Linked DNA regions of Pelodiscus sinensis. The protein of the gene in region 2 purifies or fractionates together with the protein of the main gene of each other region. This does not show direct contact. Links are inferred from orthologs where the notes say so. Each region holds a gene or a part of one and is shown on either strand. Other genes may lie near its edges.

Region 1 (15,296 bases), on a different chromosome or scaffold from region 2:
AATCTGGGACAATTCCTTAGATTTAGCACCTAAGAAAGAATGGACTAGGTGTGGGAATCTCCTCTATGTTTACTGCACTAAAGGCCTATGCAAAAAACTTATTTAGCTTTTCTCCACAATGGGCGTATCTTCTTGGCATGTTCCTTCAGCATCTCTATAATTCAGAATGTTTGACAGGTTTCCTGATTCTAATGTATTTTTTAAAAAATTGCTGTTAATTTGTGCCTTTTGTTCTTCGAATTCTTTTTGGCTGCCTTATTATACTTTTACACTGTTTCGAATGCACTGAAAGATGCATTGACTAATATGCCTTTAAACATAACATTTTCCTAATCTAAACCTGGTACTAGATATTATGCTAATTAAGACAGGCAGATGGCCTAATTTGTCATTGTCTCTAGAACTTTCATGTAGGAACAGAAATTAAAAAAAACAGTATTTATATAGTTAGGGAAGGCAAGGAAGAAGACAAGAAAATTAAAAGAATGATCCAATGAAGAAGTGGGTAACAGGAAGTCTGGGGATAGAGTTTCTTTTACACTACAAGTAAATAAAATGAAAAATAAAAAGATGAAGAGAAGAATGAAATAGAGAAACTTATGCAGAAGTGGGTGTTAAAGAACAGGTTGATTAGATAAAACAAAATATAGGAATTCATCTTCATTTTCATTGTAGCACATGAAATCTGTAAGTACCAGTCTATAATCAAAATCACAGTAACCTTATTTTGAGGTTACTCATGCAAAGATAATCTAGACATTAAGCAGTTGTGTCAAGATTGGCATAAAGGTTCATCCTGCAGGTGTCAACAGCAGGATATGGCAGTTGATTGTCAACCTCTCAATTGATACACTGATGCATCGCTTGACTCCTGGTAGGGCAAACTGGCAGCCTGCCCTGTTCTAGTCTATATAGGTTTTAATACAGGCTGAAACTCTCTTAACTGGGACTGGCAAGACCACAGATGTTCCAGGACCCAGTGGAGTCCCAGTCCCAGTGGAGAGCTAGCGCCAGGGCAGCAGGGCTTCTCAGCAGGGCTATGGGAGCCCCATGCATGGCAGCAGGAGCCTGGCACAGAGGCTGCAGAGCTGCCTGGAGTAGCAGCAGGATCCAGGCTCTGCAGCAGGAACCTGGTGTGCAGAGGCAGCAAGGCTGCACAGAGCAGCACAGAGCCCGGTGCATGAAGGTAGCAGGGCTGCTGGGCACTGCAGCAGGAGCCCTGTGCACACACGTGGCAGGGCTGCCTGGTGCAGCAGTAGGAGCCCAGTGAGCAGAGTCATTGTGGCTTCCCAGAACAGCAGCAGAAGCTGAACATGACAGCAAGATCCTGGTGCACAGAGACGGCAGGGCTGCTCAGTAAAGCAGTGGAGGCAGACAGGACAGCTGGGCCAGTGAGAGGGGGGAGCCAGCTTGGAGGGCAGCAGTCAGGCCAGGGCTGGAGGGAGGTGGTGGCAAGTGGGGGCCAGAAATGACCACCCCTGGTCTGGCAAAATCCCTCCTCTGGGACAGGTCACGTCCCTAAGCTGCCAGACCAGGGAGGTCCAACCTCTACCATGCTCACAGTATCTGAGTGCCTTCCAGTAGCTCATTAAGCAACATAACAATGCATGTCAAATGTCTGTTCACTCATCCTCTCTCCAGAGGAAGTAGATGCATTGAAGTGTTTTATTTTGAGAAGGTGTGTTTTAATTCAAGTGAACTTGTTTGCTTTCTGTCACATAAGCACAAGCCAAGTCAAATAAATGTGCCTTGTATCTGGAGCCCAGGTTGGCAAGATTTGTAATGGACTGTATTCGACACTTCAGATACATGACCAACAAATCCAGTAAATTCAATGTAACTGAAACAAACCTGACAGGTAACGGTGGTCTTGCCTATAGCTACTGGATCTCTTAATTCATTTTGTAGAAGCTGCACATAGCCCTGAGTTGGGACCTGGATACTTGAGACAGACTATCCCTTTATGTCATACTATGCTTATGGTACGCTTATGATTAACAGAGGCATTCAAGTTGGCTCCCCATCAATCTAAGTAAAGTGCTGGTTGTAGAGCATTTCCCAAGAGGGGTCTTCATCTCTGAAATGGACTTGCTTGTGATCTAAGAATTTCAACTATACTGGCCATCAGAGCACACCTCCCAGCCCCCCACAATAGCTGTTTATGCAGTGCACAGTTAGATGCTCCAGAAAAAGGGGGCTTGGATGTTCTGCATGAGATCTAGCTTTGTTTACACAGTTTGGCAGGTCTCCCTGAAGGTGTCTCCTAAATCTGTCTAATGTAATTACTGCTGTTATTCCTGAAGTCTACTGTAGGGCACTACTAACCAACAGCATGACCAGGGAAATTTAGGCAAGTATGCAAGACAACCAAAAAAGTAACTTCTGCTGTTGTGCTGCAACTTTACAAGGAACTAAGATTGAGTATCAGTACTAATTATCCTCAAAACATTTAATGATCGTATTATAGTGAAATGCATGTATCTGTAGCTCTTGCATTGCTTTATGAAGATGGGGGAGTATAACTACCTTTCAGTGATGAAGCTGCAGACACACTGATTTTAAGTAGCTTCTCCCTGATCACAGTAAGTCTGGCACAAGAAAATTTGGTTTGCTTGAGTCCCAAATCATTTACTATAGCCAGAATTGCACGCTAACAGTCTTAATAATTCCATTTGGTTTTTACTTTGATATGCCCTGGGGAAAGAGTAGAATTTATTCCACCTGCATTTTTCTATTTCCCTGTAGACAGCCCAAAACCAAGTTTATCTAGATCAATTGAAGTTTACCATTTTAAAGTGATATGCAAATTTTGCAAACTTGTAAAACGATATAATGAGAATACCCAGGAACAGCTTTAGTGAATTACTTATCTTTCAATTTTCAAATATTTCAAGTATAGCCTATAAAGAAATGCAGCATGTATTCTACATTTTAACATCAATTACTAAAGTAACCTCAATCAACATGAAATGGAGTGAAACTTTAAATTGGAAGTCAAAAAAAATTTCAATCTCACCTAACCCGCCAGGTCCAGCCAGCAAAAACTCTTGTCTGCCTATCCTTTTCACAATTGGTCGTTTCTCATCACTGCAATAAGGGAATAGATCCTGGGAGGTGCCAGTATTATAATTCAATATAATATACTGCGTAGTGAGTGCAAGGCATAAGTAATGACCATCTACAGCTACAGCACATGGTTGCTCCGGAGTGAACACTTCCTTCACTATCTGGACTTTATCCTCGTACACCATAAACATCTGGATGGTCCGCCGTTTCACAGAGATAATGCAAACTTCTACACAAAAAGGGTCCCCACTCACAGGGTTTTCATTTAGTGTGAATGTCACAGCTCCCTTGATTCTAGCTCCAGTAGGAATAGGTTCCAGGTTCATCATGTTAACTAATGTTATTGTGTTGTCACAAAGCACCAGTAACCTGTTGAGTGCTGAAGCTGCTTTCAGCTCATTGACAGCTTTCTTAAAGCCCAAGTATTTATGCAGTTGTTTGGTGGTGGCAAAAGTTATTTTTCCAGCTGATATCTTCTCTTCTAGTAGGAAGTGATAGACAAAGCAGTCGTTGGTTCCAATATAGAGGTTTTTCCCACAGCACTCAATACATTCAACATTGATTCGAGCTTTGTCTCCCATTAGCGTCTCCCGCTCAACAGCAGGAACAAGCTTGAAGGCCTTCACACTCATTGTGTCTTCTGGATGTCCTGTTTTGGAAGAGAAAAAAAAACCACAACATTTTATTCACATCTCTAAGTCCCGCTAACTTTAAAAGGCCTTAGCCAATTCTGAAATAATTACCCTCTGTCTAAAGGAGACCTTTAGGCTGGTAAATTAATCTTTCACTTAGCACTTTATACTCCATCTGATCAAATTTATGCTAATGGCAATCTAGAATTATAAAATATGCCATTCAGAAATCTTCTGCTTTTAATAATAAATATATTCTACCCTTGATATGCACATAATATATTTTTACCGTTACAAGGGAGTGCACATCAAAGAGCATCTAGAACATAAAACTCGCAAGCAACCTGGATTATGCTGTGTATATTCAAAACATATGTCTGATTCAAAAGAAATCACCTCAGGAAAAAAAAGAAAACCTTTAGGGAACTAAATAAATTGAAAAACTATGAGTAAAGTATGCATAGAAAATGGAAGTAATTTACTGAATTCAAAGCATAGCTTACTTGAGAATACAAAGCTGGTTGCTTTGGGTGCATAAACCAAGAGACCTCTTCCAAGTGCTAGATTGTTACTTTCTACTTCTACACATCACCATATGGAGCTCCCAAGTAGTAACACAACACTAAACATCTTACTCTGTCTACATGTAAAGATACTAGCATATTTTGGGCACTGTAAAAGTAACTTTCCATAGCATACTAAAAATAAAAAAAACTCCAGACAAGCAGCTGTGTTCACAAAATATTGCAGTCAATTATTACTTTTTCTGAATTTAAAAAAGGTGACGTGCAAGATAAAAAAACTACAAATCTAGTTCATTTGGTCATAGAGAAATCATTTGCAAGCAGAAGAAATAAAAGAATAAATAACTTAAATGTTGGTGAAGTTGAACAGCAATTCATAATAACCAACAAAGCAATTTACAAGTTCCAATATATTGAAAGAGTTTGGTACTTTTATTCTATACCAATCTCTCAAAACTCATTTTAAGAAGGGCAAATGATATTTTGAATTGTAGCCTGGGGGCTTGAATTAAAGCTAGATTAATATTACTACATGCAATCCATAGCATCTCTCAGATAATGGGAGCTTTGCACAAAAATAAAGAGCCATATGGTACTCTCACACAGTAACTAAGTTTTAAGTGGAAATAGTCAATTTCACTAGAAGAGAAAAAATTAAGGACACCATTATTTCTGCACTCCATTTGACTATCTGCATTTGCAATTAGTAGATTTACCCACAGAACTGCATGCCCAATTTATTGGAAAATGTAGCCCACAAAGTGTTCTCATGAGGTTTAGAAGTCAACAGCACAAAAATTTAACAGGTATTGTTCCCTGTTCTCAGAGCTGTTTGTCATTAATACGCTCATTCACCTCACTCTTCAGAACCATTATCTACGAGCATTTTCTCTGACAGATCTTCAGAATGTGAATCTCATGATCAGGCCCTGTGTAATCAGTTTATTTTACTTTTTTAGAAAATTCACTATAGTGTAAATAACAAAGTACTAAAATCACAAAAATTTGCATGGAATTAATTTTACTACTAAGTTTATTCAGTTTCAAGGGTGGAATGATATAGGAGCATAGCACTGTAAATAATTTTTTTGTACTGCAGGTTTTATTGTTAACAGTTTCCATTTTTTATAAAAAAGGAAAAATCATTTTTGTGGGGTATTTTCGTGATTTCCAAGAAATCATGATTTATGTGGGATCCTACATATGGACAATTACTTTAAGACTATGTCTACACTACAAGGTGGAGGGTTCACACCTCAAGCGCACTTCTGCACAAGTAAATCAGCAGAAGAGAAAGCTTTTGGCGGTAGTTATTTCTCTCCCCACGAGGAATAACTCCTTTTTGAGCAAGAGCTCTTGTGCAGAAAAGTCAAGTGTGGATGCTCTGTAGGGGTTTCTTGAGCAAGAAACCCCTATCCGAAAAAGCACAGGTGTTCTGACGGCCATTCTGTGAATGGCCATCAGAGCTTTCTTGTACAAGAGTATCCATAAAGTGTCCATGAGGACTGGATGCGCTTTTGTACAAGTAGTTTTTGCGGAAGAACTCTTCCGCAAAAGGCTTCTTGCACAAAAACCCTACAATGTAGATGAAGCCTAAGAGTGGCTCCAACTCAGTGTTGTTTTTTGACACCTGACCACATTGCTATCAATTATATTTTCTGCACATCCAAATTAAATTTAGTATTCCAAAGTTAATTCCCCATTTAGCATGTTAGGCAAACAAGCATTTGTATCACTGATGAAATATGAGTATTGACTAGCTTTTCGTACTTGAAGAGGTCCTTGTCCTAAAGCACGAACCACCAGAAAGCAGTTCTCCCACATCCTTGAAAGTTTGGGAGGGAGCGGAAGTGAGTGACAAACTAAACCACGTGAGTCTAGCACAATCTCCCTCAAGAGTGTTATTAAAACTTGAGAATTCTGACTGCTCTTTAGGCAGTGTACAGTGCTACACTGAACATTTTAGAGAGTTACAGGCCTGTGGGGGAAGTCACTAGTAAGGATTATTCATCCACAAGTGCTTAGAGGTAAACAACAACAACAACAACAACATTTCAAATAAAATGCTTAGGTCCCAAACATTTGTTTGCACAAATTTGAGAAAACCAGCACCATCTAAACATTACTATCCACCATCCAGAACATAAATGTTAATGCTTTAAATAGGAAAATTTCCATCAGTATTCCCAATGCAGTATACTTTCAAACCATAAGATCACAGAAAAGCATAAGCTCTGTCAGACACCACGGTAAACTATTTTGGGCCAATGTTTTCAAACTTGGATCATTAAAGTTAGGCTAAAATCCATTTTTAATCATCTGCATAGAAGTGGCCTGATTTTAAGACAAGATACAGCTACAACTTCAATTTATAACAGCAGACTGAAAGTGCTAAGGACCTTTGAAAAACAGGTCATTTCTAGTTGGACGCTGAAAAATAGCTTTAGGGCATAATTTAATGTATTTAGGTTTTTAAATCTAAACTTTGGTTATATCTGCACTCCCCTTCCTCCCGCCATGGGCTTAGCTACCTAGTCTGAAAAATAGCTTGTAGCCTACAGTGAAAAGCCAGCCCCTAAACTTTACACTGCCCTTCTTACCTCTGGCTGTCAACATTCAGTCAAAGTTCCTGTAGCCAAGGGTAAAAAATGCTGATTGCCAGTGGGAGAGCTGGTTCTAACCAAGTACAAGTCTGGTTCTAACCAAGACAATTTTAAAAACATCTTCAGAATAAAGGGGATATACAAAGAAATATGCAAATAATCAAACTAGTTAGAATCCTCCAGTAGCCTGTGCTGCTAAAATTAAATCATGCAAATCCTGGGCAAAAACCATAATGTAATACTATACAGATTTAGTGTCTACAGAAAATAAGTGATCTGGCTATATATCCAAGAATAAGGTTGTTGAGAAAGTTTCTTTCAACTTAAACACAACCAGTATGCTATATCTTTTAAATGTATCTTTGATTAAACATCTTGCAACATGTTGTGTTTTAAGCAGATAGCACTGGTATAGGTATCTTGGAATATGCTATTCCTTGTAAGTACCAGATTCCATCTCTCTCAGAAATAGCAAGGGAAATTGTTCAATATTGAACATCAATAGCATAATCCCTAAAAGTGGCACATGCTACCATCCATTGCAATTACTATTGTTACCCATTACTTAGATATTCAATATACATACAAAAATACAATATTTGACCCTATAAATTAAAAACATTTTGGAGACATCACTGAAAAGCCTCACCCTGCTTAAGGCTTTGCCTCATTGATTAGTCAGTACAGTACAATGTAGTGCAGTTTGGGTGTAGCCCTGTCGGTCCTCAAATCTCAGGCATACAAGGCAGGTGACTGAACAAAACAGACACACCTGTCACCTGTGGGGGAACACTTTTCACAAAAAGCGAGCATCATCGTAACTCTCCTATCGGCCCTTACGAGCACAGGAAGCCGGCACATCCCTTTCAGAAGACGAGCCTGAGGGCTTCAGTTCACAACTCGGCCAGACACCAAACATCATGGGCTCCCCTGACACACTGGATTGGGGGCTTTATTACAACGATCCGTAAGCCGCTACCTTCCCGCTCGGCCCTCTGACCGCAGAGGCGCTCGGGGCTCACGCTGCCGGGCCCCGACGCTGCGGGCCGCTGCTCACCCTCCAGAGCCGTGCCCCGGGGACAGGCTCTGCCTGGGCTTGCCCCTCTCGCCAGCGGCTGCCGGACAGACAGACAGACGCGGTCCCCTCACCCCTGCGCCCGCCACCGCTCAGCAGGGAGCGCCCGCCCCGCCCGGCCTGGCGCTGGGCAGAGCAGCGACCCGGAGTCACCCCCCGCCCGCCCGCCCGCCCGCCCGCCTCGGGCACCAGCGCGGCCCCCGCGCCCGGACAGCGGCCGCTCCGGCCGGACAAAATGGCTCCTGCAGCCCCCGCCCGCAGCCCGGACACAGGCCGGGGCCGGCCCAGGGGGGCTCAGGTCCGCCCCCGCGGCGCTTACCGGGGCGGCCACGGCCGGGTCCGGGGCGGCCTGGCCCCCGCCGCGCTACTGCCGGCGGGTCTCCGCCTGCGGCCCGCCCGGGCGCCCTGCCTCCTCCGGGGGCGGCTCCCCGCCCCCCTCCTCACGCTCCTTCCGGTCACGTGAGCGGCGCCGGACACGGGAAGGGCGGGGCCTGAGGAGGGCAAGGGGAGGAAAAGGCGCCGCCCCCATTGACTTTCGTGGGCGCGTATCCCGCAGACCCGCCCCGTACTCAGCCCATCCCCCAACACTCACTATTCCCCCCCCCTCCCCCCCGCAAGCACGTCCTCCCTCGGCGTTCCATTCACGCAGCGCGCGCGCGCGCGCCCCGCCCCTCTGCCCAGCGCCCCGCACGCACGGGACGCTCCTCATGCGGGTGCCCTGCACGTTCGCTCCGGCCAGACCTCGCCCCGCCCCCCCCCCCCCCCCGTCCTCAGCAGCCGGGCGCTGTGCGGGCGCGGGTCAGAACTTCGACAAGTGCAGTGGGTGGCGCAGCAGGGCGAAGACCGGCCCCTGCCTCCCTGCCGCGCCCAGAGCTTACGTGCCCCCGTGTCCAGCTCCTAGGTCCAGGGGTAGTAACAGGGGGTCTGTGCACACTGCCCCTGCCCCTAGTGTGGGGCCTGTAGCGGGGAGGTTGCCCTAGGCTAAGTGCCACACCTGGGCCACTGGGAGAAAAGGGGTTGCCCCAGCCCTGTGCCCCGTATGGACAGTCATGCCCCTTCGCCATCTCTGTCCCAAGGAGCCAAATATCCGGGGGCTCTGCATCCCATGTGCAGGCTTCACTTCCTGCCCAGGACCCTGCTCAGCTTCCATTCCCACGCTCAAGATTCTCAGCCAACCCCTTGTCCCACTCAGCTGCTGGCCCTGCTCTCAGGGACCTGGCCACAGGCCCTTGGTCCCACTTCGCTGCTGTGACCACACAAATGGTCTCGGTGTCCAACCCTGGTTCCCACTTGGCTGCTTGTCCTGTTCTCGGGGACTTGGCCACCACTTCTGAGCCCCGCTCAGCTACTGTCCTCATGCGAATGTTCTTGGTGGCCAGCCATGGCCTTGGGTCTCACTTGACTGCTGGGCACTGGCCCTGCTGCTGAGCCCAGCTTGCAGGATCCCACCTAGCTGCCAGAATGAGGATTTTGGACACCGACCCTATTTGTAGGATCCCAGCTGCTGGCCACAGCTCTAAGGATCAGTTGGGATGTGGACGGAGGTAAGGGGGATGCAGCTCAGCATCATTACTCCAAAAATTATTCTCGTGCCACTACAGGACATGCCATCCACTTCTGGGAGCTGCCTGAAGCTCTGCCTTGGCCCCAAACTTTGATCTAGCATAAGTTAACTAAGTTATAGTTTACAGCCTTATTAGGGGCCTGTAAAAAATAATAATAAAAAAAGACTCCATTTCAAATGTTTATGAAAACTGGTTGATAAAGGATTTATGTGAAGAGGAAGATTCTTGCTGTAGACATTTTTGTTCAAATAGTACTAACTCAAAGCAGTGAACAATTATTTGATTTAGATGGGGTTGGTCCTGCCTAGAGCGGGGGGCTGGACTTGATCTTCTGAGGTCTCTTCCAGTTCTATGATTCTATGATAAGGGGATGGTTGAATGAAATAACATGATCATGGTAACTAATTGACCATTATCAGTTGGAAATAGGTCAATGGAGGGATGATAGGAGTTACTATAGAGAACTTTCTGGGTGTCTGGCTGGTGAGTCTTGCCCACATGTTCAGGGTTTAGCTGATCGCCATATTTGGGGTCAGGAAGGAATTTTCCTCCAGGGTAGATTGGCAGAGGCCCTGGAGGTTTTTCGCCTTCCTCTGTAGCATTGGGCACAGATCACAGCTGAAGGACTCTCTGCATGTTGGGGCCTTCAAAGTATTTGAAGGCTTCAATATCTGAGACATAGGTGAGAGGATTATTCTAAGAGGGGTGGGCGAGATTCTGTGGCCTGCACTGTGCAGGGGGCCAGACTAGATGATCATAATGGTCCCTTCTGACCTTAAAGTCTATGAGTCTATGAGTCTATTGTACTTCACAATAGCCAGACCTTTTTGGTTATTGCAAATCATCAAATATTAGTAGTCAAAGATAATTTTTATCAACAGATCCAGACCTATTTACTTCAATGTCAAACATCCTGGGTATGTCTAGACTACATGCCTATGCCGACAGAGGCATGTAAATTAGACTACCCGACATAGTCAATGAAGCGGGGATTTAAATATCTCCCACTTCATTAAAATAAAAATGGCTGCCATGCTGTGCTGGCTCACCTGATCGTTGGCACAGCGCAGCAGTCAAGACGCGGATCTTTCGACAGGGCAGCCTTTGTCGACTGTTCCTGTAAACCTCATTTCACAACCTGGATTTGTTGATAAAAGCGGGGGATATTTAAATCCCTGCTTCATTGACTGGAGTCAGCTGCTGATCAATTTCAGCAGTGGCTGACTTGGGGACACCTGGGACAGAGCAGCTGGGGTGCTGCTGGGTTGGTCTTGCAGTGCTGAGGGGCGGCGCTACGGGACCAACCCGACAGCACCTCAGCTGCTCTGCCCCAGGCGTCCCCAAGTCAGCTGCTGCTGAAATTGATCAGCGGCTGACTCCAGGAAGCCCGGGGCAGAGCTGCTTGGTCCGGCATCCAATGCTCCGGCACTCCTGATGGTCTGGAACCATCGGGAACCTGAAAGTGCTCCGGGCAGTCGGACAATTGGAGCTGCTCTACCCCGGGCTTCCTGGAATCAGCTGCTGGTCAGTTTCAGCAGCGGCTGAATCGGAGACGCCTGGGGCAGAGCAGCTCCAATTGTCGGACTGCCTGGAGCACTCCCAGGTTCCCGATGGTTCCAGACCATCAGGAGTGCCAGAGCATTGGATGCCGGAGCAATGGAGTTTTACTGTAATATGTGATTCATAGAGAAATATTTATGTAAAAATAACATAAAATAGAAAGGAGCTAATGGTTCTACAGTGTTCTTTATATTAAAATACTTTGAAGTTTAAACTTTTTTACACTAGGAACTGAAGGTACTTTGATAAATGTATGGAAAGGTTGGTTTGTTTTCACTTAGTATGTATTTTTTTTAATAAATATTTTTAAATTGCTGTGGGTAGGAGAAATACAATGACTTAAAAGAACATGATATCTTAAGGTTTTGAAAAACAAGGCAAACATTTAAAATACAATGAAAAATACTTGGTTTTTTTTCTGAGTAGTTTATAAATAACAACTACTTAGAAAATAAATGGCATGTGTCCTCTCTTAGATTGTGATTCTGCAAACATGTATGCATGTGCTTAATTGTACTACTGTAATTCCACTAATTTAAATAAGCCTATTCATAGTAATAAAGTTAAGCTCATGCATAAGTGTTATCAGAATTAGGATCTTAAAATGATACATGGATAAAACTACAAAGAAGGAATGACTTCTAATATTTGACAAGTGCCTATCTCATTTATAACTGCTTATATAATAGCAAAGATTAGCATGATTCTTTACACTATAAAGATGGATTCACCGACCTAAGGAACATATGCCAAATTTCCATTCAGTTATAGAGGTAACATGGGTTGCTAGAAAGTTTTAGAAACGATGGGATAAGTACTGACTGGTCAGACACCAGTAACCAGTAAAACAAGTCCCTGGCAGTATTTCGAACTAGGGGGTTAGTGTAGACATACCCTTGGATAATTATTATCTTGTCCAAGATGTTAGCACTGTGGCATGAAAATTGGTCTTTAATTCTTTTCCTTTTGTTATATACATCACTGCCCTCTGCTGGATACACTTTGTCCGATCTATTCAATTGTTCATACACTAAAGTTACAAATACCTAATGGAGCTTGTTCCCAATTCTGAAATGTCTGAAACACTGGACAAAATGTAATGGTTGCTGTTTCAAAAGTTTACAACTGACTATTGACTTCATATAGCTTTGAAACTTTATTATACAGGAGAAAAATGTTGTTTTTAACATTTTAAATTTAAATGAAATAAGTTTATTTACTTTGTAATCTTTTTTAAACTTCCCCTTTATTTTTTATCATTTTAATATTTAACTCTGTTTTGTACAGAATAGTATTTCCTTTTTTGGGTCTCTGCTGTCTGATTGCATACTTACACTTCCAAGTAAGGTGTGTGGTTGATTGGTCACTTTGAAGCTGTTGTTCACAACTGTTTACACCTCTGCTGTCAATGAAATAGACACAGAGTGTCTTATATGTAGTGTAATGTACTTCTGGAGAAATTTGCACTAAAAAATTAACAATTCTATGCACAATATTTTATTTTTCAAAAACAATGTAATCACTCCAATTTCAATTATTTTGGTAATTTATTTCAAAATACAAGTCAGCAAGTATATATGTACCAATACAGACAACAAAAAATTCAGAATTTTTTTGACAAACTGGTTATATATTAGGTATATTATTACAGAACTTTGAGTTAATTTAAACTACAATTCAGAAACATATTTCATTCATCTTTCAAAAACAGTATAAAGGCTTGAGGGAGTTGGGGTAAGGGAGGAGCTGAGAAACAGGGAATAATTGCTAGGTAAGAATCTGAGTGTGACCTGGAGAATTATTGGGTATGGGTGACATAAGTATGAAACAGGTTTGATTTTTGGGAAAGGGATTTTGAGAGATGGGGAGCTTCCTCCATGCAGACCCTAGCTGACCCCTAACCTTTCACATTCAATCATGAATCTGTGGCCCTGTCCCCATATGTCATAGAATCCGAGGGCTGGAAGAGACCTCAGGAGGTCATCAAGTCCAGCCCCCTGCCCAAAGCAGGACTAACCCCAACTAAATCATCCCATCCAGGACTTTGTCAAGCCAGGACTTAAAAACCTCTAGGGACGGAGATTCTACCACCTCTCTAGGTAACCCATTCCAGTGCTTCACTACCCTCCTGGTGAAATAGTTTTTCCTAATATCCAACCTAGACCTCCCCCTCTTCAATTTGAGACTATTGCTCCTTTTTCTGCCATCTGTCACTACTGAGAACAGCCTTTCTTCATCCTCTTTGGAACCTTCTTTCAGGTAGTTAAAGGCTGCTATCAAATCCCCCTTCACTCTTCTCTTCTGCAGACTAAACAAACCCAAATCCCTCAGTATCTCCTGATAGGTCATGTGTTCCAGCCCCTTAATAATTTTCGTTGGCCTCCGCTGGACCCTCTCCAATGCGTCCACCTCCTTTCTGTAGTGGGAGGCCCAGAGTTGGACACAATACTCCAGATGTGGCCTCACCAGTGCCCAGTAGAGGGAAATAATCACTTCTCTAGATCTGGTGATAATGCTCCTCCTAATGTACTCTAATATGCCATTACCTTCCTGGCTACAAGGGCACACTGTTGATTCATATCCAGTTTCTCATTCACTGTAATCCCCAGGTCCTTTGTCAAACTGCTGCTTAGCCAATTGGTCCCCAGCCTGTAACAGTGCTTGGGATTCTTCCGACCCAAGTGCAGGACTCTGCTCTTATCCTTGTTGAACCTCATCAGATTTCTTTTGGCCCAATCTTCCAATTTGTTGTCTAAGTCACTCTGGACCCTATCCCTGCCCTCCAACATTCCTATCTCTCCCTCTCGCTTAGTGTCATCCGCAAACTTTCTGAGGGTGCAATCCATCCCCTTAGCCGGTCATTAATAAAGTTGCTGAACAAAACCGTTCCTAGAACCGATCCCTGGTGCACTCTGCTTGAAACCGACTGCCAGCGATACATCAAGCCATTGATCACTACCCATTGAGCTTGACAATCTAATCAGTTTTCTATCCACCTTACAGTCCATTTATCCAATCCATACTTCCTTAACTTGCTGGCAAAAATATATGGGAGACCCTATTGAAAGCTTTGCTAAAGTCAAGGTATAGTACATCTATTGACTTCCCCATGTCCACACAGCCATTTACCTCATCATAGAAGGCAATCAGGTTGGTCAGGCATGACTTGCCCTTGGTGAATCCATGTTGACTATTCCTGATCACTTTCCCCTCTTCCCAGTGCTTCAAAATGGATTCCTTGAGGATCCCCTCCATGATTTTTCTGGGGATTGAGGTGAGGTGAGGCTCACTGGTTTGTAGTTCCCTTTTTTTTTGGATTGTCCTTCCCTTTTTTAAAAGATGGACACTACATTTGCATTTTTCCAGTTGTCCGGGATCTTCCCTGATCTCTAAGAGTTTTTAAAGATAATGGCCAAAGGCTCTGCTATGACATCTGCCAACTCCCTCAGTACCTTCAGATGCATTAAATCTGGATCCATGGATTTGTGTGTCTAGCTTTTCTAAATAGTTCTTAACCTGTTCTTTCTCAACCAAGGGCTACCCATCTCCTTCCCATACTGTGTTGCCTAGTGCAGAAGTCTGGGAGCTGACCTTGTCTGTGAAGACAGAGGCAAAAAAAGCATTGAGTACTTCATCTTTTCCCACACCCTCCTTGATCACCCTTTTATTGCTATCATGCCTGTAGAAACCTTTCTTGTTACCCTTCTCAACCCTTGCTAGCTGCAATTTCAGTTGTGCTTTGGCCTTCCTGATTATGCCGCTGCTTTCTCAAGCAATATATTTATACTCTTCCCTAGTCATCTGTCCAAGTTTCCACTTCTTGTGAGCTTCTTTTCTGTGTTTTTTTGTTTTTTGTGTGTTTCCTTTTGTGTCCTTGTACCACTGCTCAGCTGCCCTGTCCATATGTGTGCCTCCCTCGGCCATCTTCCATGGCCCTGCATCCTCAGTCCCATTCAGCCTTTGTCCCAGTTCCCCCCTGCAATTAACTCTTTGTATCCCAGTCTATGTGACCTCCCAGTAGCCCCATGTGCCTTACTCTTTCTGTCTGCACCATAACCTGTGCCTCCTCACCTGGCCCTACAGGCAGGGTGCTATGAGGAATGCAGCTTCTCCTCCTCCCTATTGGCTGCTCTGTCTGGTCCAATATTATCTCAGAGAATCTTCACACTTGTATAGAATGCTGGACAACTAATTAATGTTTAATAGTTCATATTATAACATTAACTCCTGAAGTTTCTGAATAACTAATTGGAGAGAGTAGTATTTGTAGA
Region 2 (15,259 bases):
TGGAGGGGAGGGGAGGGGGGAAAGGGGAGACATGGAAGAGGGGGCTCTCTCCACCATACACCCCTATGGATCATCTTAGTTAACGCAAACCTTCTTTCTGTGGATCACCAGTCGCTAATGGAAATGGACCATTAATTACACTCGAGCCATTTTGCTAATGCTGCAGCTGGGGAGTATGGTTTAATTTAAATTTAACATGAGTTAAAATGTTTAATCTGTTTGTTTATCAAACTTCATTTTAAATAATGTTTTCTTTATTTAAGGGAGGGATGGGGAATCTTTTTTGGAGCCAATGAAGTGAGGAGTAAAAGTGTAGGGGAATTAGGTCAACTGGTAGAGGGCTTGCTTAGCATGTGAGAGGTAGTGGGATTGATACCCACCTTCTCCAGGAACCTGTAGGTTACTTTTAGGGGGGAGGGATAGCTCAGTGGTTTGAGCATTGGCCTGGTAAACCCAGGGTTGTGAGCTCAATCCTTGTGGAGGCCATTTAGGGATTTGGGGCAAAATTTGTCAGGGGTGGTACTTAGTCCTGCTGTGAAGGCAGGGGACTGGACTCAATGACCTTTCAAGGTCCCTACCAGTTCTAGGATAGGATAGCACTTTCAAAAGCACCCATTAAAAGTTAATGCAGCAGACACATACTTTTAGGGTCCTAAGAAAAGCCCAGAGCACTGAGTCTCAGAGCCAGACTCAACTGACTTGGGCGCACGCTGCAGGATCAAAATAGCACCATAGATGTTCCGATTGAAACCCAGGCTCCAAGATCATTTCCCCTTGCCAGGTGTCCAGAGCTGACAATGCTATTTTTAGGCCTGCCCCCTGAACTCCATAAACCGAAGTCAATTAATCTGAGAATTGGTGACAATTCCTCTCTCCATTGTGTAGACACACATTTAGTCACTTCTGAAAGTGGGACTTGGCCTCCTTAAGTCACAGTGTGTGTTTGAAAATATTGTTTTCAGTGTTATTATGTAAAGGTTGCAACTACTGCAGGGCAATATCGTACTTAGAATGCAATATTCAGTTGATTATCCTTTAACAAAACTTTGCACTTACATAACTCCTTCCATCTGTGAATCCCAAAACACTTTACAAGTGTTTGGAAATTAAACCTTCCAACTTGCCTGGGAAGTATCACCACTATTTTACAGATGTAAAAGACTGAAGCATAGATTAAAATCCTTGCTACACACTAAGGCAGTGGTCTCCAACCTTTTTACACCCAAGATCACTTTTTAAATCTCAGAACAGGTGACCATCTACCACCCCGCCCCTTCCTTGAAGCCCCACCCTCTCTATTCTCCTCCTGTCCATCACTTGCTATCCCCAAGCCCTTACTTACACATGCTGATAAACAGTTTATTTTTAAATTATGCAATACATAAAATTAAAATCACGTGTTTATAGTTATGAAATAAATGGTCTGTTTTTTATTCATGCTATTTAAATCTAAAATGAAGCATTTAATTATACATTATAATGAGGCTGGGGGCAGGGGAGAGGGCAGAGGACAGGGTTGTGCAGCAGGGGACAGAGTGCCAGTAGGGACAGGTTTCTGCAGCTGGGGACAGGGTGCCAGTAGGGACCGAGTTCGGAGAGTGGGGACGGGAATAGGGACAGCGTTCAGTAGCTGGGGACAGGAGAGTGGGGACAACGTTCTGTGGCTGGGGAGTGGGGGTTGGGGAATGGGGTGCCAGTGGAGGCAGAGAGTCCCCTGCATCTCCCTCCTCCCAGGATTCTCCCCCCCCCCCACCCCAGAACACCCCATGCACGCGCGCCTGCCCAGGGGGCCAACCCCCCCTCTGCGCGCCTCCCGCAGGGCTGACTCACTCCTCCCGTGCACTGCAGGGAGCCAATGCTCCCTCCCGCAGTACGCCGGGCAAAGCAGCTAGCACACTTCCCGAACCGCCAGAAGTGGCACTAAGCTGCGGGACTGCTGTCCATCCCCAGGAAGCTGACACTACCTCCATTTTCACTTGAGGTAAGTAGTGGGGCTTCTCGGGGGTGGGAGGGAAATGGGGGTGGGCAGACAGGACGCCTCGCGAGCGACTGGTCGAGGCCTCGCGATCGACCAGTAGATCGCGATTGACCTGTTGGTGACCACAGCACTAAGGACTTGTAATACAAAGAGCCTTGTAGAATCCCACTAATGATCATTATACCTAAGGGCTAGCAGGACGGATCCCAGATTAAGCATGGTCTAAGGATCCACTCCCACCCACCCCCTAAAGTTGAGTAAAGACACAGCTCTTTCTTGCTACACAGATAGAAATAAACTATGTTTTTACCCACTGGTGAAAGTACCTTAAAAATTTACAGGTTCTACCCTATTGCAATCTGGCTCTCACCTGGCTTTTGCCACAACTCAGCTAGCTCTTGAAAGAGCTGCACTCCACAACACACCCACTTACTTTTTAGACAGATGTAGATGTACAAACACAGGTTACAGGAACCCCACTTGTAAGGTTAAGTTGTTAGAAAAGGGAACAAATCTAAGGGATTTCCCCCTACATCAACTCCACATAAAATGTAAGTTCCACTCTACTGTGCCACTTTCCCTGCTGTAGGGGAGAAGAGGGTTTTCTATCACTTCTCCCCAAGAGCTTCTCAACTGCTAAGAATGAGCAAATCTCTACTTCCTCAGTTTCCTGGGTACCTTACTTGGATGCATCAACAACATGGGGAAAAAAATAGATCTCAACCAGGTTGACATGTCAGGCTGGACATAAGTATAAACAGTCATCAAAAGTTATAGTTGAGAATACAAAAAAACCCCACCCCACATTCTTCCAGTTTGTGAACATGGAAGTTTAAGTAACGAGATTCAGGAAATATAGCTGAAAAAAAGCTCCCAAGAAGGTCTGCAGGGACACAGACTGAAATTCTGTGGGCATCATTTGAACAGTTACAAAACCCTTTTTAAGTAATGAGTGTGACTACAACATTCTATATACCAAGTAAACACAAGCTAACATGATTGACTTGCAAAGATAAAGCAACCCATATGCTTCCATATTCCTTACAATAAATGAAGGGAATAGCATGGTTACATTCATTCCCCTCATGCAAGTAAAGTTAGGAAGATTAATGTAGCTAATAAATAGGCTTTTTACAGGCTTGACCACTGTGGTCCAGTGCCCTTGGGACCTGGCCAGTCCCAAACAAGGACATTTGCCAGACCAAGGGAGGTCCCTGGTCACCAGCCTCCTGGACACCCACCAACTCTGCTTCTGGCCCCAGCTGGCCCCCACTACCTTCAGCCAGCTGTGCTGCCAGCCCTGGCTGGACCCCTCAACTCTGGGACTCCCAGCTGTACCCACCTGAACCCCTGCCACAGTGCTCCTAGCCATACCAATAGAACATCCAGTGCTGCCTAAGCCCTGACCACGCTCCTGGCTGTGCCACCTGAGCTCCCCGTACTGGCCAAATCCACTGCTGTGGGGCTCCTTATGCAGGAAGGGCACCATTTCTCTGTTAATTATAATTCATGTAAATATGTCTAGGAACAGGACCGCAGATGTTGCCAGATTAGAAGTCCCGGTCTAGGGAGGTACAACCTGTAGAATCAAACTTATCAATGTCAGTATGTCTCTATTTCAGCACACACAATGAAAAAGTATTCCCACAATTACAATTGAAGTTTAGACAGACAAAACGGGGAGGGGGGGAGGGGTGCTCAAGAACATGTGATTTTAGGCTATTTATTTCATGTAGTTTGGCATATGATGTTGACAACCTGTTTTAACCATTATAAGCTTAGAGTCTCGGGCTACATATACACTACAGGGTTTTGCTAGTAGATAGCATGCTAATGAAGCACTCATTAGCATTTGTCACTGTCATTAGTGTATTCTCTGCCTGAGGCTTTTGGCACAAGAGGTTTTCGTGCAAAAACAAGCAGCACAGACTGATCCGTTTTGCTCAAAACGGATCCGTCTACATGGCTTGGTTTTGCGCAAAAACCTCTTGCACAAAAAGCCTCAGACAGAGAATAAGTTAATGACAGCATGACAAATGCTAACAAGCACTTCATTAGCATACTCTGCCAGCAAAACCCTCTAGTGTAGCTGTAGTGTAGTGTCTAGCACCATTAAATAGTTGTCTGACCACCATTCCCCTTCATAAATTTTGGAAATTGTGGGAAGTCAACTCAATAAAAACTTAAGCCAAAGAACCAAAATTAGGGTAACTGAAGATTTAAACTGATAAAAGCTATAAGGACACTTAAACAACATTAGCCATCAAAATAATAATAAAAAATAAAAACCCAATTTCTGTCAGACCTACTTATAAAAGCACTGGATGAAAATAGAAAGAGTCTGCCAATAGAGCTGTCTGTAAAGTAGAGCAGCTGATACAACTGACAGCGACTGGTACTGCTACTATCAATAATATCCAAACAGGATTTCTATTTCTCTGCTTCCAAATTTGAAATGTGTTATATTTACATGAATTATAATTAACAGAGAAATGGTGCCCTTCCTGCAGGGTTTAAGAGAAACAAAACAAAACACCACACCATAGCCCCACCTTCTATATTTTTGGACAGACTACAAGTCATCACAAAGGCAGATGATGTATAAAGTGAAATGGTTGTAGAAATGATCTTAGTCACTGCAGTATGTACAGTATATCTTGGAAGTGTATCCTAAAATGGAGACAGAGGAGAAATGATCACTGTCCTTAGGTTGCAAAAAAGGTGTATGAATAGCTGGGAAGGACTAGAAGCAAGAACTATGAATAAATCTTGGGCCATCTGGGTCAACAGACAAGTCCCAAAATATATGGCATGCCAAGGGCCCTTCACAATGTTACTTATAATACAGACAAAAAAATTTTCATACTAACTGTACATTCAGGGGGATGGGCAAGTTACTTACAGTATGGAACACACCACAGTTAATCTGTAGTGAGTTTGTTTTTGTTTTTAAAGAATACTTTTGTATTGGAAAAACCACACACACACACACACACACACACACACACACACACACACACACACACGATGTCCAAAATAAGTAGACCCATCAAAGGAAGCAGCAATGCATTTGCCAGCTGCTTCTTTTGAGTGCTTACCTTTCCTCCTACCTTCAAATTCATACTCTTCTTTGGAAGAACATTATTCTCAAACATTACACCTTTACAGATAGATCTTGGAGGGCATTTATAAAATACTTGATGTGGTCACTATGGTTGCCATGGGTAAGCAGCATAGGGGATAATTCAAGGCTATAGGACACAGAAAGGAAAACTGAAGAGACATCTAAATACATCATTGACCATAAACAAATTATTTCATTTGCTTCATCCTTTTCATTAACAGGATTTTTTCCTAAGTAGAAGATTGGGGACCACAGAAGTGTCTCAGTGCTTGTCATACAAAAACAGATAATGTCTGTAGATTCAAAAACATGGTTCTACCTGGAAATCTCAGTTACTCCATTTTGAGAATGTTCACTTGATGGAAAAATTCACTTACAGCTAACAACCCTTCAAACTTAGACATTCAGATTCCAGGCTCTCTCCTATATCACCACCAATAACAAAAGTTCCTTTAAGACAAATTATGCCCTCAGGTGATAGCTGTACATGCCCACAATCTTCAATAGGTGTAAGCAGGGTATGAAGTCAAAGGAAAGTGAGTCATTCTTCCAGTTTACTATAAAATAGGGATGTGAATGGTTAACAGTGGGGGCCACTAATTTTTTACCTCAACAAGGCATTGCTATAAATTACATTACTGGAAAGGCTAACAACATGCTTATGCCCCAATGTTTACAAAGTGTAGTTAAAATCTTTAGGTTGATGTATAGATGAGCCCATTCTCACCTACATAAACAGTTGTTTGATTTAATCATCCATAAATGCATTGCACCATCAAATCATTAATGAATAAAATGGACTTAAGAGATTCAAATGCACACATTATTTTTGGCTTGTTATTTTCAATGGCATCTGCCACACTGGAAGCCAGTGTGTCTTCTCTCTCATATCAAGAAATAGGAAATGTAACCATTTTAAACATCACCCAGGAAGATTGCATTGTATATAGTCCAGAACATTTGTTCTACAGTCAATGACTCAGGCACATGGTTGTTTGTATATAAACACTAACAAGCACTGTAACAGATGAATAGAGTGGAATTTGGTATCTAGTATTATTCTCTTCAGAAAGCAGTCATTGAGACTGAGTTATTAGCAAGAGCTTTCCCTCTTCTCCCCCCCCCCCCCAAATCTGGAAACTCTAAATCGAGCCAATTAGCAAAATAAAAGGCTGTTTGCTATTATACCTATCCATAGGATAAGGCTAGAGAAGTTATCCTTAAAATTAATACTCAAAAATGTAGTTTAATTTTTCCTTTTAAGGTTTTCTTTCCCCTGAGTAAGAGAATTGTTCACATTCTCAACAACTGAGACATTTTCCTTCCTCAATACCCATTTCTTCACAACTTTCTTAATTGAGGTCTTGGGGGAGAAGGAAAAAGATAAATGGAAGATTATTTTCTCAAGGCTGAGTTCTAGACCAGACAAGAATCCACAGACTGTGTTAATACCATTCTTCATCAGGCTAATGGGATTGCTCTTGAGGAACAGCAGTCAGCCTTGTCTCACAGAGCTGACCAGAGTAACACAAAAGCGCTTGCTTCCTGGTCTCTTTCAAACTAGTAACCATTTCCTACAGCCTGCATGGAATGCTTAGAAGGCCACGTTCTACATTTCTGAACTGTGATATTTGCAGTTATCAACACACAATACAGGAGTCCTGGTAATATCTATTTATGTCAGAGGGTTTTTTTCCACACCATGAAATCACATAGGTCAACCATTTTCAAGTTGTCCTATATGACTTCAATGCATTAGGAAAGGGATCCTTGATTACTCAATGAGCAAGTGACAAGGACAACTTCGTATCACGTGGACTATGTTTTGGAGAGATAGTTTAAGGCATGTTTGATAAATACTTTATAAATATTTACAAAGCTTACAGAAAAGCAACAAGTTCTATTTTGGGCTCAGGTGATGCATTAAAACTCTGCTTACAGACTTTTAATATTGCTTACAGGAAAGAGACTTAATGGGAAACCAGACCCCACTAAATAGCTGCATTCTTCAAAGGACTAAATTACCAACGTTTTGTGTGTGTTACTCATTGTCATGTTTATCAATCAGCATGAGGCGACTGAAACAACAGGAAAGTGTCAGCCTTGTTCACCAATCCTTTCTACATTACAAAAGGAACTTGGAACTAGTGAGAACTCTAGCCTGTCTACAAAATGTTTTTGTGCTGAAAGCAGTGACAGAAGAACCCAGAGGCGAACCGAAAATAGCAAGTCGTCCATTTAAAAGCAGCATTCATCCACCCAGCCAGCCCACCGCCCTCTTCCTTCCCCCATTTTCGCGTGTGAGATTCCCAAGCATTTCCCCCCCCAACCATTGTGGTTACAGCGTGGAGGGAAGGGTTTAAACTTGGCAAAGTGACGTGCAACATCTGAAACCACATTTACCTTGGGGGAACCAGAAGACGACTCCCGCCGCATTCCTGCCTTCGAAGCTGGCCACACGGCAGCTAGCGAGGCAGGGCGCGCAGGGGAGGTCACCGCCTCTCGTGCACTGGGGGCCCAAGGCCCCCGGCGGAGGGAGACACCCGGGGGAGGCCGGTTGGCCGCTGCGGGCAGGCGCCGGGGTTTGGCTGCCCGCGCCCCTGAAGGCGCCCCCAGCCCGAGGGAGGCAGCGAGCCGCCCGCCCGGACCCGGCCCTTCCCAAGCGGCTCGGGCCCCACTGCCGGCAGCGCGTCCCCCCGGCCCGGGCCGCCCGCCACAGCCGGGCCGGCAAGGCCACTCACCGTCTCATAGCAGCGCAGCGGGAGGCGGCGGCGGCGCCGGGCGCTAGAGGCGGGCTGCCCTCCCCATGGGGTGGCGGCGGCGGCTGCACGTCGCTGCGCTCTAATCACGGCGCTTCCCCTCGGCTCAGCCCAGCCGCATCCCCCCAGCCCGGCGCGGCGGCGGACAAGGGGCGGGAGCTGGCAGGGAACGAGACGCCGGAGCCAAATTTTCCGGCGGCGGCAGGAGGGGCCGGGATGCGGCAGGAGGAAGTGGCTGCGCCGCGCTCTGCCAATGGGCGCCCGGCGCTGTAATTAATAACCAGGCACCAGGAGCATCATTTCCTCCCGGCACCGGCCCAGCGCGCCGCCCCGCCGCGCCCCCTGCAGGCCACGTTCGCGGCCCCCGGGCCCCGCGTGAGGGAGCCGCCAGCCGCAGGGCAGACGCGCCAGGCGGATGTGGATTGCGTTTCACTCAGGCCGCCGCAGCCGGTGGCGCTGCCGTCTGGCATAGAGTGCCCCTGGCGAGCCCGAGCAGCCGGGCGGGTTGGGCCAGGCACCGAGCGAGACTGACTTCAAAGCAATAGGGGGGGTGGGGCTGTTCTCTTCAGCCGCCTTCCATTTCTGAGCCATTTTAGGATGGACTTTGGTCACGCTCTCCAGCCTTTCTCTGCAAGCGGGACACTAGGCTTTTTAAAACTGGAAGGCTGTGTCTAGACTGGCAAGTTTTTCCGCAAAAGCAGCTGCTTTTCCAGAAAACCTTGCCACCTGTCTACACTGGTCGCTTGAATTTCCGCAAGAACACTGACGATCTCATGTAAGAAATCAGTGCTTCTTGCGGAAATATTATGCTGCTCCTGTTCGGGCAAAAGTCCTTTTGCGCGAAAGGGCCAGTGTAGACAGCTCAGATTTGTTCAAAAAAAGCCCTTATTATGAAAATGGCGCTCAGGGCTTTTTTGCGCAAAACCACATCTAGATTGATACGGATGCTTTTCCGCAAAAAGTGCTTTTGCAGAAAAGCGTCCGTGCCAATCTAGACGCTCTTTTCTGCAAATGCTTTTAACGGAAAACTTTTCCGTTAAAAGCATTTGCGGAAAATCATGCCAGTCTAGACGTAGCCGAGGTGTATTGCCAGGACACCAGTCAGGCTGAAATGCCAAGAGCTGCGCTGTGACTTGCTGCAGTTTAACCACATCTCTTAAAAACTGATTTAACCTTACAGGGATGCAACTTTGGCAGCTGACAAGGACCCAGAGAATGCAGCTATAGAACTGCTCCTTCACTAGCGAGCAGGGCACAGGCACACTTGCACCAGGGAGCTGTGAGAGATGGGCTATTATGCCAGAGGAATAGGTAGAAAACTTTTGAGGCAATGAGCCCCAGCAATATCCATACTCATGTCAGACAGAGAGCCACTTACCGAAACAGTGTCACTCACAGATCTTAAAAACCAATGACTAGTCCTGTGGCACCTGAGAGATTAACAGAGAGAGAAGACAGTGTGTGCCATGAGCTTTCTGGGCAAAACCCACTTCTTCAGATGAGATGATCTTGAGTTTCCCTCTACTCCTTCAGCTTTGAATTCCTTGCTTTCTGCTCCTCTCCTCTTCCTTCCTTCCTTCCCCCTCCTCCCCCCCAGCCTTCTCTCTGGCTCCTGCAAAATATACTACAAATTGAATGGAATAAATACCTAGTATGTGCAACTATCCTGAATCACAGGAGGCATTGCAGTTGTGCATTCAGATCTGCATTTATTGACAAACATGGGAGGCAGTGGATGGAGAGGAAAGGTGAGTGTACAAATTCAGCATTCATCCGTGTTTCTGTGAATTAACATAGGAACATTTGGACAGTTTTGGTCCTTTAACTGAGGCCATTTAAAGATACAACCACATACATTAAAAGCAGAATCTGGCTCCTTGTATTGTTATTCAGGCCCATTCACTTAAAATTTTGCTGGCTTAGGTATGTCAGGAGTGCAAAAACAACACATCCCTAACTAACATAGCTATTCTAGCACAAGTACGGTTCTGCTGGTAAGAAGGTACTTTTGCTGGAATAATTTAATTTTGTTTGCAGAATAGCATAAGATATATCATCACAAAAACTTTTAGGCCAATAAAAACTGCATCCACTCTAGAGAGTTTTACCAACATAGTTCTATATATTGCTATACCAGCAAACCCCTTCTAGTATAGTGGTCTTTCCTCAATATAAATTTTATTTATTAAACTTAGATCTGAAATATGAGAGAGTAATCAAATAAAGATGGAATCTCCAGAGCTAAAGGGAAACACTGGCTGTGGTTCAGGAGACAGTTTGCAAAGTAGGAAAATCCAACATCTGGGGCTCATCACAAGAGGCAGTTTACAAACTCAGGACAGGGGAGAGGTTTTGGTGCTAATGAAAAAAATTGTTCATCTGGACTCTCTCTGGAGTCTCACTAGTAATTGCTTTAACAGTCAACAATCAACTTTAAAAAATACCATTATAAAATACATAGTAGAATGTTTCTGATTAGTAAGTAGACACATAAGGAAAAAAATGAGCTGCTCTGTGAATTTGTTCTCCGTTTTCATAATTCTGTACCAAATAATGAAATATGCAAAAAGTTGGATTCATCTTTTGACTGTCAACTACTGCTGGCAACTTATTTTTTAGTTTCCTACATCTTGTGTCTGTACACATGAAAAATAAAGTAACAAATATTAATAAAATAAGTAAAATAAAACTTCACTGCAGAATTAAATGTATTTACAAGAACAAAATATTCTATGAACAGTTATGCTTGAGATTCTGTCAGATATGTTGTTCTTTAGGAAGATCATAGAGGACCCTAGTTTAATTCTTCTGAACAATTGATCCATTGGTCTGCATTAAGGTAATGAACTGAAGGGACTGAATAGGAAAATAAATTGATTTATGGATATTTTCTGAGTTTATATAATTTCTGCATATACTTACAATCACTGAATAATCACATGAATCCTGAAGGTTAAAGGACTCATTTTAATTCACTTTAAAATGCAGCAGGTTCTGGAGAGAGATGTTACTATGCTAATTTGTGAGCTTCAAGAGACCTGAACCTAAGAACAGCCATACAGGATCAGACCAAAGGTCCATCTAACCCGATAGCCTGTCCTCCAGCAGTGACCAATGCCTGGTGCCCTGGAGGGAATGAACAGAACAGGTAATCATCAAGTGATCCCTCTCCTGTCACACAGTCCCAGCCCTGACAAATAGAAGCTAGGGACATCATCCCGCCCCATGGCCCTATCCTCCATACATTTTTCTAGACTTTGAATTATCTGGAAGAGTGGAATGGCAAAAGAGGCAGTGACATTAAAACACTGCTGTGGCAGCATGGCTGGACTCTACTGGCAGAGCTGCTGACACAGGAGAGCAAACAGGGCAGTTGCCCTACAGCCCTATTAGAAAAAAACTGCCCCTCCCCCGGTAAAAAGTTTGGCCAGGCCGCTCTTGCTATAGTGGGCTGCAGTACTCCTTGGGAGAAACCGGCCGCACCCTTCCTGCATACCATTCCCTTTAGAAAAAGGGAAGGAGTGAAAAGGGGAAAATAGCTTCAAACTCTCCCACCCGTCACCTTGGCATGAGAACTTACCTGGTCGCATGAAACCTGCTCAGCTTCGGCCCAACCCCTGGAACACAGACCCCCCACTTGGTGACCATTGGGCCATATATGGTAATATGCAAGCGCGGGAAAGCGATGTGCAGATTTGGGGATAAATACCCATCGCACAGTTCACGCGAGGGGGTCTTCGCAACACACGTACCACCGTGCATGTGCCTGCTCGTATACTTCAAAGCGCTGCCGATCTGATCAACCGACCAGCCACCTCCCCCGACACTCGGGCGTAACCAAGATCTTCGCAACCGAACCAATATCTTTGAAATGTTCCGTGTGCTGTGTAAGTTGGTATGTATGATTTGATTTTTCTTGTTCTATAAGCTTGGTGTTGTAGTTGTTTTGGGTAGTACATAAAGTTTGTAGTTATCACTGTTATTTAATTAGTGTAGCTGGATATTTTTAGAATAGAGACTATTCCCCTTGCCATTCCCATCATAAGAACATAAGAACGGCCGTACTAGGTCAGACCAAGGGTCTTTCTAGCCCAGTATCCTGTCTACTGACAGTGGCCAGCACCAGGTGCCCCAGAGAGGGTGGACCAAAGACAATGATCAAGCGATTTGTCTCCTGCCATCTCTCTCCAGCCTCTGACAAACAGAGGCCAGGAACACCATTTTATCCCCTGGCTAATAGCCTATTATGGACCTAACCTTCATGAAATTATCTAGCTTCTCTTTAAACTCTATTATAGTCCTAGCCTGCACAGCCTCCTCTGGCAAGAAATTCCACAGGTTGACTACACGCTGTGTGAAGAAGAACTTTCTTTTATTCGTTTTAAACCTGCTACCCATTAATATCATTTGGTGTCCTCTAGTTCTTCTATTTAGGGAACTAATAAATAACTTTTCTTTATCGGCCCTCTCCACACCACTCATGATTTTATAGACCTCTATCAAATCCCCCCTCAGTCTCTTTTATAAACTGAAAAGTCCCAGTTGCTTTAACCTCTCCTCATATGGGACCCGTTCCAAACCCCTTATCATTTTAGTTGCCCTTTTCTGAACCCTTTCCAAGGCCAAAATATCTTTTTTGAGGTGAGGAGACCATATCTGTACACAGTATTCTAGATGTGGGCGTACCATAGTTTTATACAGGGGCAGTAAGATATTCTGTGTCTTATTTTCTATCCCTTTCCTAATAATTCCTAGCATCCTATTTGCCTTTTTGACCGCCGCTGCACACTGCATGGAAGTTTTCAGAGAACTATCCACGATAACTCCAAGATCCCTTTCCTGATTTGTCGTAGCCAAATTAGCCCCCATCATACTGTACGTATAGTTGGGGTTATTTTTCCCAATGTGCATTACTTTACACTTATCCACATTAAATTCATTTGCCATTTTGCTGCCCAATCACTGAGTTTGGTGAGATCTTTTTGGAGTCCCTCACAGTCTGCTTCTGTCTTGACTATCCTAAACAGTTTGGTATCATCTGCAAACTTTACTACCTCACTGCTTACCCCTTTCTCCAGATCATTTATGAATAAGTTGAAAAGGATCCTTATATCTCTGATATGTTTAGCTAGAAATCATAGAATATAATAAATACTGTAAATTCATTATTAACACGGTCTATTAAAAATCTCAGAATAAATACTATAAATTCATCACTGTTATAAATAAATATTTTTTATTTGATAAAACTGTCCACCTGGTTCTATCCTTCCTCCCTTGGGTATGCATCATCGGACCTGTGATTCTCATGACAAGCCCCACAATCTAAAAGGACTCAGGGCTCTGACCCATTGTGGCAGCAGCAGAGAGCCCTGGGTCCCTCAAATCACCGCTAGAGCCCTCTGGCTCCCAGCTTTCATGGGTGCATCCCTTGGGTTCTTGGCTGCTGGCCATGAAAGACTGGCTGAAGGGAGCTGCCCCACCACCACCACCAAGCACAGCAGGCTCAGTGCATGGCCCATCAGTAAGTCCCTGCTTTTGCTTTCGCCCCTGGTTTTTATTATTCATAAACAGGGCTCACCAAGCCATGGCGACCCCTGCTCGCCAGCTGCACTGTCCAGCGTTCTGCACCTGCACAGATCGCCCGAACCCGGCTCTTCCGGGATGTAAGCTACTCGCTATGGGCAAGTAGATTACATAGATTGTTGAGCCCTGTTCATAAACCTCTGAGAACACTTAAAGTAAAAGTGTTAATCCAAGGAGGAGGAAAACATGTAATTACAACAAGGATTACTTGTTCCTATGCCTGGTCTATGCTCAGTTTTTACACTTATCAGGCTCAAACTCCACTAATATAAATACCTTAATATAGATACTAGGGAGATGCACCCCCTGCTCACTACGCTCGCCAACCCTCCCTCTCGCTGGCCGCTTTCACAGCCAGAGAGCCTGTTAATCTTGCACCAAACCCAGCTGCACTCTCCATGGCCCCAAGTCACTTGCACCCTTCTCCACTACCGCCCATCACACCCCTGGATGAGCCCCTCTATCTGAATGCTCTTAGCCTATACCACCTGCTTGTGCCCTTCAGTCTCCCCTCCCACATCCTTCCTGCTCCTGCCCAACCTGCCAATAGTCCATGGCTCACAGCCCACCCCCCTCCTTCCATCCCTAGCCCTACCTCTGTCCTCCGTTCTTACACCCACATCTGCCTGCCTCCATTCCTACTCATCATCCTCCCTAACCCCTCCTCCCCATTCCCCTCCTTCCATCCAACTCCCAACTCCATTCCTACATCTACCCATCTTCTCTAACCTCTCCCCTGAGGGGAGTGAGCAGGGAGCATATTCCTGTAGTATCTATATAAGGTATTTATATTGGTGGAATTTGAGCCTGATAAGTGTAAAAACTGAGCATAGACCAGCAACTAGTCGACTAGTCCTTCACATCCTTGTCAGAGAGTGGGACTTGTAAGATTGTCAGTGTTCTTGCGGAAATGCTATGCTGCTCCCATTCAGGGAAAAGCCCTCTTGCGCAAATGCTTTTGCTCAACAGGGCCAGTGTAGACAATGCGGTATTGTTTTGTGCAAAAAAGCCCTGATCGCGAAAATGGCAATCGGGGCTTTCTTGTGCAAAACCGCGTTTAGATTGGCACGGACGCTTTTCTGCAAAAAGTGCTTTTGCAGAAAAGCGTCCGTGCCAATCTAGACACTCTTTTCTGCAAATGCTTTTAACGGAAAAACTTTTCCGTTAAAAGCATTTGCGGAAAATCATGCCAGTCTAGACGTAGCCAAGGAGTTAACTGCTTGCTTAGGATGGTACAGCTTAGGAATGCACTGTTTACTTTTAACAGGCTCTGAGACCCATTTCAAGGCTATCTACCTGGTCCAGGAGGGAGGGATTGTCTGGGAAGATCAAATAGCTATCTATGTTGAATGTTTACCACCTGCTAAAGCTAATTATTTCACTTGGGAAAATAGTCGATGTATTAGTAATTTTGCCAGGTTCTCAAAACAATCGGTGTGAGTAATGTAGATCCGATAATATATAGGTGCCGGGGATCTTCCTAACATTGGAACCTCGGCGTAGACCGAAGCTGCGGAAGGTGCTATGTACTGGCCACTGGTGGCCATCCCCTGTCCTTCATCAGGGGGTTCCCAGCCGCAGAAGGGACGTAGGCGTTGCATTTTATTCTGAGGTTTGCTTAGGCTTAATAAGCATTGTACTTTCTTAGTAAGCCTTGTATTTGCTTAATAGGTATTGTATTTTATTTTGTGATTTGCTTAATAAGTACTGTACTTTATTTTGAGATTTGCTTAGTAAAATCTTTAAACCTTCACCCAATTTGTGTGCTTATTGCCTCCAAATCCTTTAAGGGAAGAACCATGGCCTCTTGGC

What was found.
Region 1: the proteins of ACVR1 (region 2) and TGFBRAP1 purify together in Homo sapiens (co-immunoprecipitation; 3 studies listed by BioGRID and IntAct, counting the BioPlex papers as one, with this or other methods). This does not show direct contact. The link is inferred for Pelodiscus sinensis from reciprocal best matches to the Homo sapiens genes ACVR1 and TGFBRAP1.

Annotation. Positions count from the first base shown.
Region 1 is NC_134711.1:233,359,331-233,374,626, forward strand, and holds the start of TGFBRAP1 (transforming growth factor-beta receptor-associated protein 1), read right to left. Parts: upstream 7,613-15,296; 5' UTR 7,497-7,612; coding exon 7,475-7,496; intron 3,716-7,474; coding exon 3,017-3,715; intron 1-3,016. UniProt on the Homo sapiens protein: Plays a role in the TGF-beta/activin signaling pathway. It associates with inactive heteromeric TGF-beta and activin receptor complexes, mainly through the type II receptor, and is released upon activation of signaling.
Region 2 is NC_134717.1:31,840,205-31,855,463, forward strand, and holds the start of ACVR1 (activin receptor type-1), read right to left. Parts: upstream 8,157-15,259; 5' UTR 7,852-8,156; coding exon 7,844-7,851; intron 7,692-7,843; exon of another isoform or gene 7,506-7,691; intron 1-7,505. UniProt on the Homo sapiens protein: Bone morphogenetic protein (BMP) type I receptor that is involved in a wide variety of biological processes, including bone, heart, cartilage, nervous, and reproductive system development and regulation.